2 linked regions of the Xenopus tropicalis genome follow. The protein of the gene in region 1 purifies or fractionates together with the protein of each later gene. This does not show direct contact. Links are inferred from orthologs where the notes say so. Each region holds a gene or a part of one and is shown in the gene's direction. Other genes may lie near its edges.

Region 1 (4,589 bases):
ATGTGAATTAAGAATGGCTAGTTATAAATCTTGTTCTGTAACTCACCTTTGTTAAAATCATAAATAAACATCTTTTTAAAAAAAGAATACAAAGAAATAGCACTCCAGGTCCATAACGAGGCTGGTGCAAGTCCTGCTTCCAGGAATGTTGCCCAGCTGCCAAAGTACCCCTGTCACAAGATCACAAGAATAAGAAGACATTTTCAATGCATTCAAAATTGGACCTTCTTGGGTACCCTGTGGAGAAAGCTTTGCAACAAAGTATTCACTCTACTATGAAGTTGATGAAAATCCTGCCATAGGCAACTCTTCATCTTTTTTTTAAAAAAAAAAGAGGCTATCTTTTTCTTTTCAGCAGCTCAGTGATTCTTTGTGCATAAAATAACTATGGATGCTTCCTTTAGAATATATTTAATTACAATGCATTTAATCAGATATAAACTCTGACTGAAAAACACATTTAAAAATTTAGCACAGGGATCCTCAACCTACGGCTCGCGGGCCAGATCCAGCCCCAAGTTAATTTACCCGGCCCCTGCTGCCTTTCTCACCCCTGGCTACTACCTGTCTGCAGAAGCAGTGGGGAGCAGGGAGCAGGAGGGCACAGCAGGGAGTCAGATGGCGCAGTGGGGGAGCAGGAAGCTGGAGGGCACAGCGGGGAGCCAGAGGGCACAGCGGGGGAGCAGGGAGCTGGAGGGCACAGCAGGGAGTCAGATGGCGCAGTGGGGGAGCAGGAAGCTGGAGGGCACAGCGGGGAGCCAGAGAGCACAGCGGGGGAGCAGGGAGCTGGAGGGCACAGCAGGGAGTCGGATGGCGCAGTGGGGAGTGGGGGAGCAGGGAGCCGGAGGGCGCAGTGGGGGGAGCAGGGAGCTGGAGGACGCAGCGGGAAGTGGGTGAACAGGGAGCTGGAGGATGCAGCAGGGAACTGGGAGCCGGAGGATGCAGTGGGGAGCAGGAAGCCAGAGGACACAGCGGGGAGCAGAGGAGCAGGGAGCTGGAGGACGCAGCGGGAAGTGGGTGAACAGGGAGCTGGAGGATGCAGCGGGGAACTGGGAGCCGGAGGACGCAGTGGGGAGCAGGAAGCCAGAGGACACAGCGGGGAGCAGAGGAGCAGGGAGCTGGAGGATGCAGCAGGGAGTGGGCCATAGTTTGAGGACGCAGGAGGCGTAGTTTGAGGACTACAGTCCGGCCCCCCCCAACAGTCTGAGGGACCATGAACTGGCCCCATGTTAAAAAAATTTGAGGACCCCTGATTTAGCACATGGACAAATTAACCATATGGGAAAGAGAGAAACTGCTTGAGCAAGGCAAAGCTAATAACTGCAGAGCATGGCCTCTTGCTAATATAGAGATCATCTATAAGACTTTCCATTTGGTGTCACTTTAAACCATGTTGTAATAATTATGCAAGCCACTAGAGGGTGCCTGTTACTCTCTTTTACAGCCTTACAGACTGCTTCTTTTCCTTTTACTGTCTGTGTTTTCACGTCTGTTTCCTTCTTCCCCACCCCACAGATATATTATCCCCTAAATGAGGCCCCAAACAATTTAGGATTTTTTTTTTTTTTTTTAAAGATCTGTTATACCCTGCCTGGCGTGACTTCCTCTTTGCTGAATCCGGGTACAGCAGACAAAAAAAGACGATTCACTAAAACATAGGCCTTGCAGGATCCTCTGTCTGGAGCAAGGCCTGGGAATTGTGGAAAAGGAAGGAAGCAAGCATGGCAGGGACTCTGACACAGGAGGAGGAGCAGGTAAAGCAGTCCCTGTGTGCGGGTGATTAGTCCTGCATATAGTGAGATGAAGAGCGACTTCTAGTCTTGTTTATTGTCACAATTATTCTGTATATGTAGTGCCATGAAATCAGGCATAAGACATAAGTGTTTATGTGAGTGTATATATGTATATATATATATATATAAATATATACACGTGTGTGTGTGTGTATACATACACGCATCTGGTCTTTTTTGTAGTATAAATATGAGTGTGTATGTGTGCACATATAAATTATAGAGCAACATTTCAGATAAACTGTTAATTTTTTCCCTCCTTAAAAATGTTTGCATTCCCCCTGTTTGCTTTTTTCATTATCTCCCTTTTAAGATCCCCTTTTCCTTCACTACCCTGTTCCCATAGGCCGATTTCTGTTTTACTTGTGTCTATTAATACCCATATGTCTCTGATTCCTCTTAGGCTACTAACAGGTTCCTGCAGGAGATGAATTTGTGGACAAGCTGCCACTCCGTGTCGCCTCTCTCATGGGACATCGCTGTTAAATTTCTGATGGCGAGAAAGTTTGATGTTGTGCGAGCAGTTGAACTCTTCCACTCATACAGAGTGAGATATGTGTGCAGATTAGCATTTCACAGTAACTGCCATCTTTCTATGTCCTTCATTCAAGCTTTTCCCTGTCTTCCAGTGGAGCAGCTCTCAGGCCCAGATTTGTGGCAAGGCCACAAAGGCCGGGGCCAGCTCTTTGCATGTAATGGGCCAGTTTGTAACACTGCCTGTTTAAGGGCCAGGTTATATTAAAATGATGATGTCATACTATTGAGGTCTTGGGGGCTCTTTAGAGGGCTATTAAAATCCGCAGGGCTTGTGGTAACCTTATGTTTTGCTTATTGTTTTTATCAGAATATATGTATTATATTCATAGTAATCAGGGCAAAATCTGCAAGCACAATTAAAACAAATTAGTGGTCCACTGAGAAACCTTTGTACAATAGGTATTTTCTTATCTTAGGGTCTAACAATGGCTTCATCTAGGGAAAGAGATGTAATATTTGCTTGTTTTGGAATACAACTCCCAACATCCTGCTGATAAATAAAAGGAGTAAGAGGGTACTAGAAGCTGTAGCTCAAGAGCACTTAGGACCCCCGTTTATAAGACAGTAACCCAAACACATCTAGATCTGAACTCCACAAGAGACTTAATTGCAGATTAAATCCTAGAAATGGGATGTAGCTGCACTTGCCCAACAATAATGTAGCTAAACAGACTGGTAAAGTGCTTGAATATTTTGGCATTTGACACAACTGAACTGACACACCTGCCTGCATTTTTATCTGACAAGATTAAGTTATTTCTCATTGATATACATTGATTGTTGGCTGTAGCTGCATAAAAAAAAGAAAGCATCTTATTGTATCTGATGAGATAACAGTACAGCAAACTGGATGAGATTCTGCAGCGTCCCACAAAATCTTGTGTTTGTGCACCCCTTAGCATTCTGCATTGCAATCCTGCCCATTGTACCTGTCTGTCATTATATAACTTCAAAATATCTGTTTAGAAAGCATATAGAAACGTAGAAGCATATAATTTAATTCTAGAAAAGAACCAGCTGATCCAGCTAGGCCAGCCAGCTATTTTTTCCCACAAATGTTTGAGTGGGCGGTACCCACAGCACCTACTATATATCAACATTACTATATATTTATCAACATTATATAATTATTATCTGTTATTATAAGTTCCTGGTCTCCTGTCTGTATCACCTTTATTTTCTGTCACTGTATAACATAAATGTTATGTTTGTGTTCCAGGAAACCCGACACAGAGAAGGGATAGTGCGGCTGAATCCTTTACAAGAGCCATTACTTTCTGAGTTGCTGAGTGGCAAGTTTACTGTGCTGGTGAGAGGTTAGGTGTCAGAAGGTTGTTCTATTTAATGCTTATAAAGTAATAACCAGTTGTTTGCATGTATATATTTATTTATATAGTGCTGCTTATGTACACAGCACTGTACAGCAGAACAATAAATTCATGGAACAAACAGAAATTAACTACAGAATACAGTTACATTAATGATTAGGAGCCAAGTATCAAAGAGACAGGAGGAAGAAGTTCCATAGAGCTTACAGTCTAAGGGATGACAAAAATACATGGACAAAGAACCTTTCACTGTAAAAAGCTAAGGATAATAGAACACACCAAGGAGTTTCTCAACTACCTAAAGGCAACTTATTCTATGCTCAGATGTTACAACTGGGGGTACTTTATTTCTTATAATACAGATGATTAACTGAGTCATGTGACACAACTTCGCTAAACACCACTTTTAATTGATGACATAACTAAGCACCATTTATTATTATATAATTTACAAGATGTTCAAGTTTCTTGTGTATTTTAATAACAAATAATCCTAGGCACAGGATGAGTGGAAGTGATATATGTAAGTGTCATATATATTTTACAGATGAACTCACATAAATGGCAGTCTTATAATTGTAGCAGGAAGCAGTGCTTCATTCCATCAAATTGAATCTATTGACAGCATACTGAACTAATCATTGGGAGGGCAGGGGTCATGGATTAAAGTCCTGGAATAATGAGCTTTAGGGATAGGTCAAAGTGCATGTGACTGGTCATCCACTGTTTTGTTCCAGAGTGTCAGAGCCCCAACTGGAGCCTCCATTGCAATCTTCACCGCTAAACTACACCATCCAGCCCGCAGAAACAGCAGGCAAGCACAACACACTGTACTTCAAGCTCTCTTTTATCTACTGGACAGAGCTGTGGAGAGGTGAGAGCCTAGAAACCTGAATGTGGTGTTTTGGGGTAGGTGTGTGTGCAGTGTCAG
Region 2 (3,822 bases), on another chromosome or scaffold:
AATAAAAAATACCTGCTAAAACTTGGCTTCCTGTCAATTGAAATATGGCGATACGGCGAAGGAAGGAGCAGCATCCACTATGCGACGATCGATTGATCGAGCCTAGCCCTAGGAAGGAGTCAGGCTAGGCTCGATCAATTGTGGTTTGCAGGATAGGTCAGTTATTGGTGCAGGGTAGAATAGCTTTTTTACTCAAAAAAGTTTAGTGTTACTTTTCCTTTAACCTTTGTACTAACCCACACTTTTTTTTTCTTTTTATCTGAAAAATAGATGGATTTTAATGTAGGCTTGGGGAGGCTTATAAGTCCTTTGTTAATTTACCTAAACTTGTCTGCAATATAATGCTGTACAAGGGATGTGAGGAAGGTTGCAGATTAAAATCTTACATCAGCATGGCATTAGCAGGGCTCTGTGCGGAAAGGAGGGTTGAGATGTGAAGGGGGTGCAAGAGTACGGCAATAACAAGCCTCAATATACTCCACCTTTAGGCCAAGTTCAATCTTACTTAGTCCCCGGTCATACTCTGTTTCTTTTCCCTGTCTTCCTTCCTAGTGTAAAATTAGCCCACACGGAGCTGAAATGACTGAGGGAAAGCATTGCAGAGAGCAGGAGAAGTTTTGGAGTATAACTTATTAATAAAACAAGCATATAGATATTCATTTATATAAAGCTTGTCTTTATATTCACATGTTATATGTGAGCTGTAGATTTGTTTGCAAAGTTTTACATAGCTGTAATAGATTTTTATGAAACTATCTAAAAAGATCCAGTGCAGGTAAACAGGTAAAAAACATTTGTCTGTATGAGGCCTTAGTCTAGTGTGGTGATTGTTATTGCATATTAACATTTTTAGCCTTCCTGAACAAAAAAATCACTATCCGCCTATGGCAGGCATGTGATCGAATTAGCTAGAGACTCCATGTGGGCTCTGCTCTACCACTATTTAAAACCATGCATGTTCATTTAAATAAAAATGTTACAAAAAATGAGTATAAAATGTATAAATGCATACTTTTTCACTATTAAACATTTAACTGCTGTTACTGGACTGAAGGGTATTCCAAAAGCTGACAAATCTGACCACTCCTATGGTACAAAATGTCTGTGAAAAGTAAGATAGAGTATCAATGTATAGAAAAATCTATCTGAACGCATTTAAAATGTGCTTTGTTCTTTGCAGATTGAGCAAAGTGGAGAAATCCCACCATCTTGCTGCAACTTTCCCGTTGCTGTGTGCAGAGACAAAATGTTTGTCTTTTCTGGGCAGAGTGGGGCCAAGATCACAAATAACCTGTTCCAGTTTGAATTCTCAGAAAAAGTGTAAGGCAATGCTTTTGTTTTGTTTTGTCTTTTGTTAGTACTTCGCACTTGTTTATTTTCCATCTCAACCCTAAGTCCTAATTTAAACTGAACTTCACATTGGCTCTCTAGGTAATTCTGTAGTGTTTGATTTGCTTATGACTTATCATCAAAGCTGACAATAATGAATACAAATGCGTGATTATATTTTTGTCCTTCAGATGGACACGCATTCCAACTGAGCATTTGTTACGTGGGTCACCACCACCCCCCCAGAGACGTTATGGACACACTATGGTGGCTTTTGACCGTCATCTTTATGTGTTTGGAGGTGCAGCAGACAATACCTTGCCTAATGAGCTGCATTGTTATGATGTGGACTCTCAGTCGTGGGAGGTGATCCAAGCCAGCCCAGACAGTGAGGTGATGTACAGTACATGGACTCTTGTGACATTATATTATATATATATATATAATTATATATATATTTATAATGCTATAATAATATATTATATTATAGCATTATATTGATAGGCTACAGTTGTATACTCTGTCCCTAACATGACAAAATGGCTGCCTTATACACTTCAGCCATTCAGTGGCTTGCATATAGCACTGCAAAGAAAATGCACACAATTGGCTGTTAGATTTAATGAAAAAAAGCAGATATGGTGAGTAAGAGAAGAGGAGTGAGATATATGCTTTACGTCTTTTTCACTCTCTGACATTGTGACAAACATATACTTCAGTGTAGATATGATGGTGTTCATAATAGTTATATATGATGTTAGTGTATGTCTATAAGTGTTGAAATGCAGAGAAATGTGTCACAAAGTTATTAATTTCTATCATGCTAAACACAATAAAAAGTTAGTATGTCATCTAGATGCTAAAAAATGTTTTAATGCATTTTAGTTACCTAGCGGACGTCTGTTTCATGCTGCAGCTGTTATTGCTGATGCCATGTACATCTTTGGTGGGACAGTTGACAATAATGTCAGGAGTGGAGAGATGTACCGCTTTCAGGTAAACACTTTTATAATATCTGTATATCATTTATGCTTTCATGCTTATAGGCCTTATATGGGACTGGGGAGGTTAACGTCAGTGAATATGAAATGGACAAGCTAAAAATAAAAAAAATACAGTCATGCAAAATATCCATTCTAATCCATTTTTATTCCCACCTAGTTCTCTTGTTACCCAAAGTGCACTTTACATGAAGATTACGGAAGACTGTTTGAGAATCAGCAGTTCTGTGATGTTGAATTTATTCTCGGAGAAGTGAGTACCTGCACCTTGATCTCCCTACATGGATCTTCTTAAAGGAACAGTAACACCAAAAAAATGAAAGAGCTTTAAAGTAATAAAAATATAATGCACTGTTGCCCTGCACTGGTAAAACTGGTGTATTTGCTACAGTAACACTACTATAAGTTATATAATAAGCTGCTGTGTAGCCATGGGGGCAGCCATTCAGGCTGGAAAAAAGGAGAAAAGGCACAGGTTACATAGCAAATAACAGATAAGTTCTGTAGAATATAATAGTGTTTTATCTGTTATCTGCTATGTGCCTGTGCCTTTTCTCCTTAGAATGGCTGCCTCCATGGCTACATATCAGCTTATTTATATAAATTATAGTAGACTTTCTGAAGTAAACACACAACTTTTACCAGTGCAGGGCAGCAGCACATTATATTTTAGTTACTTTTATACACTTTCATTTTTTGGTATTACTGTTCCTTTAAAAGAGAAGGAAAGGCTAATCTCAAGCTACAGGCATACCTTCAGTTCTCTCAATAGTGCCCTTAAGTCTCCCCATATTTCACCTGTTCAGATGATCAGAAGCATCATAGGAAAAAAAAACCTCTAAGCTCTGTAAAGAAAATTTCCCATAATGCCACGCTCCTGCACCAAGACCCCTGTAAATGCGCCGTTTGTACGACTATGAGAAAGTTTCCTGCTGATTGGCTCAGATCACACATTCCTAAGGGGTGGAGGGAGTTCTTAGCATTCTTGTGGGAGGGGGGAGCAGGAGAGAGCTGAACAGACTCTGGCACAGAAAAAAAGGATACAAGAACTCCTATGTTTCTTTTGATAGAGGACTCAGTGCAGCATTCTCTGAGTGCTTATGGCTGTGTTTACATAGATAGTTTTTACCTTTCCTTCTCCTTTAAAAAAACAATTCATTCATGCATGCTCACTGATTCAGTATGAATGGCATCTTGTATGATTCATGCCCATATATAGGTATTTATTTGCTATTTCCCAGCCAGATGACAGTGTCCTATAAAGAGGTCTGTAGAGCCCATAGCTTGTAGCACCCTAGGCCATTACATAAAATTACACTATGTAATGTTTGGAACTTTGCCGTTTCATATACACCGTATCCCAGCATAAATGATAAGCTTGCAAGATGATGAAACAAAAATAGCATTAGATCTATAAACATTTTCTTTTAATGGTACCATGCTTCCAGCGGACTTCTCCTTAACACTTGCAGAAAGTTCAGCTAATGGCTGG

What was found.
Region 2: the proteins of ptpn9 (region 1) and lztr1 purify together in Homo sapiens (affinity purification with mass spectrometry; 3 studies listed by BioGRID and IntAct, with this or other methods). This does not show direct contact. The link is inferred for Xenopus tropicalis from reciprocal best matches to the Homo sapiens genes PTPN9 and LZTR1.

Annotation. Positions count from the first base shown.
Region 1 is NC_030679.2:93,340,301-93,344,889, forward strand, and holds the start of ptpn9 (tyrosine-protein phosphatase non-receptor type 9), read left to right. Parts: upstream 1-1,679; 5' UTR 1,680-1,721; coding exon 1,722-1,754; intron 1,755-2,196; coding exon 2,197-2,340; intron 2,341-3,549; coding exon 3,550-3,639; intron 3,640-4,395; coding exon 4,396-4,532; intron 4,533-4,589. UniProt on the Homo sapiens protein: Protein-tyrosine phosphatase that could participate in the transfer of hydrophobic ligands or in functions of the Golgi apparatus.
Region 2 is NC_030677.2:166,685,697-166,689,518, reverse strand, and holds part of lztr1 (leucine-zipper-like transcriptional regulator 1), read left to right. Parts: intron 1-1,180; coding exon 1,181-1,320; intron 1,321-1,520; coding exon 1,521-1,722; intron 1,723-2,214; coding exon 2,215-2,325; intron 2,326-2,490; coding exon 2,491-2,583; intron 2,584-3,822. UniProt on the Homo sapiens protein: Substrate-specific adapter of a BCR (BTB-CUL3-RBX1) E3 ubiquitin-protein ligase complex that mediates ubiquitination of Ras (K-Ras/KRAS, N-Ras/NRAS and H-Ras/HRAS).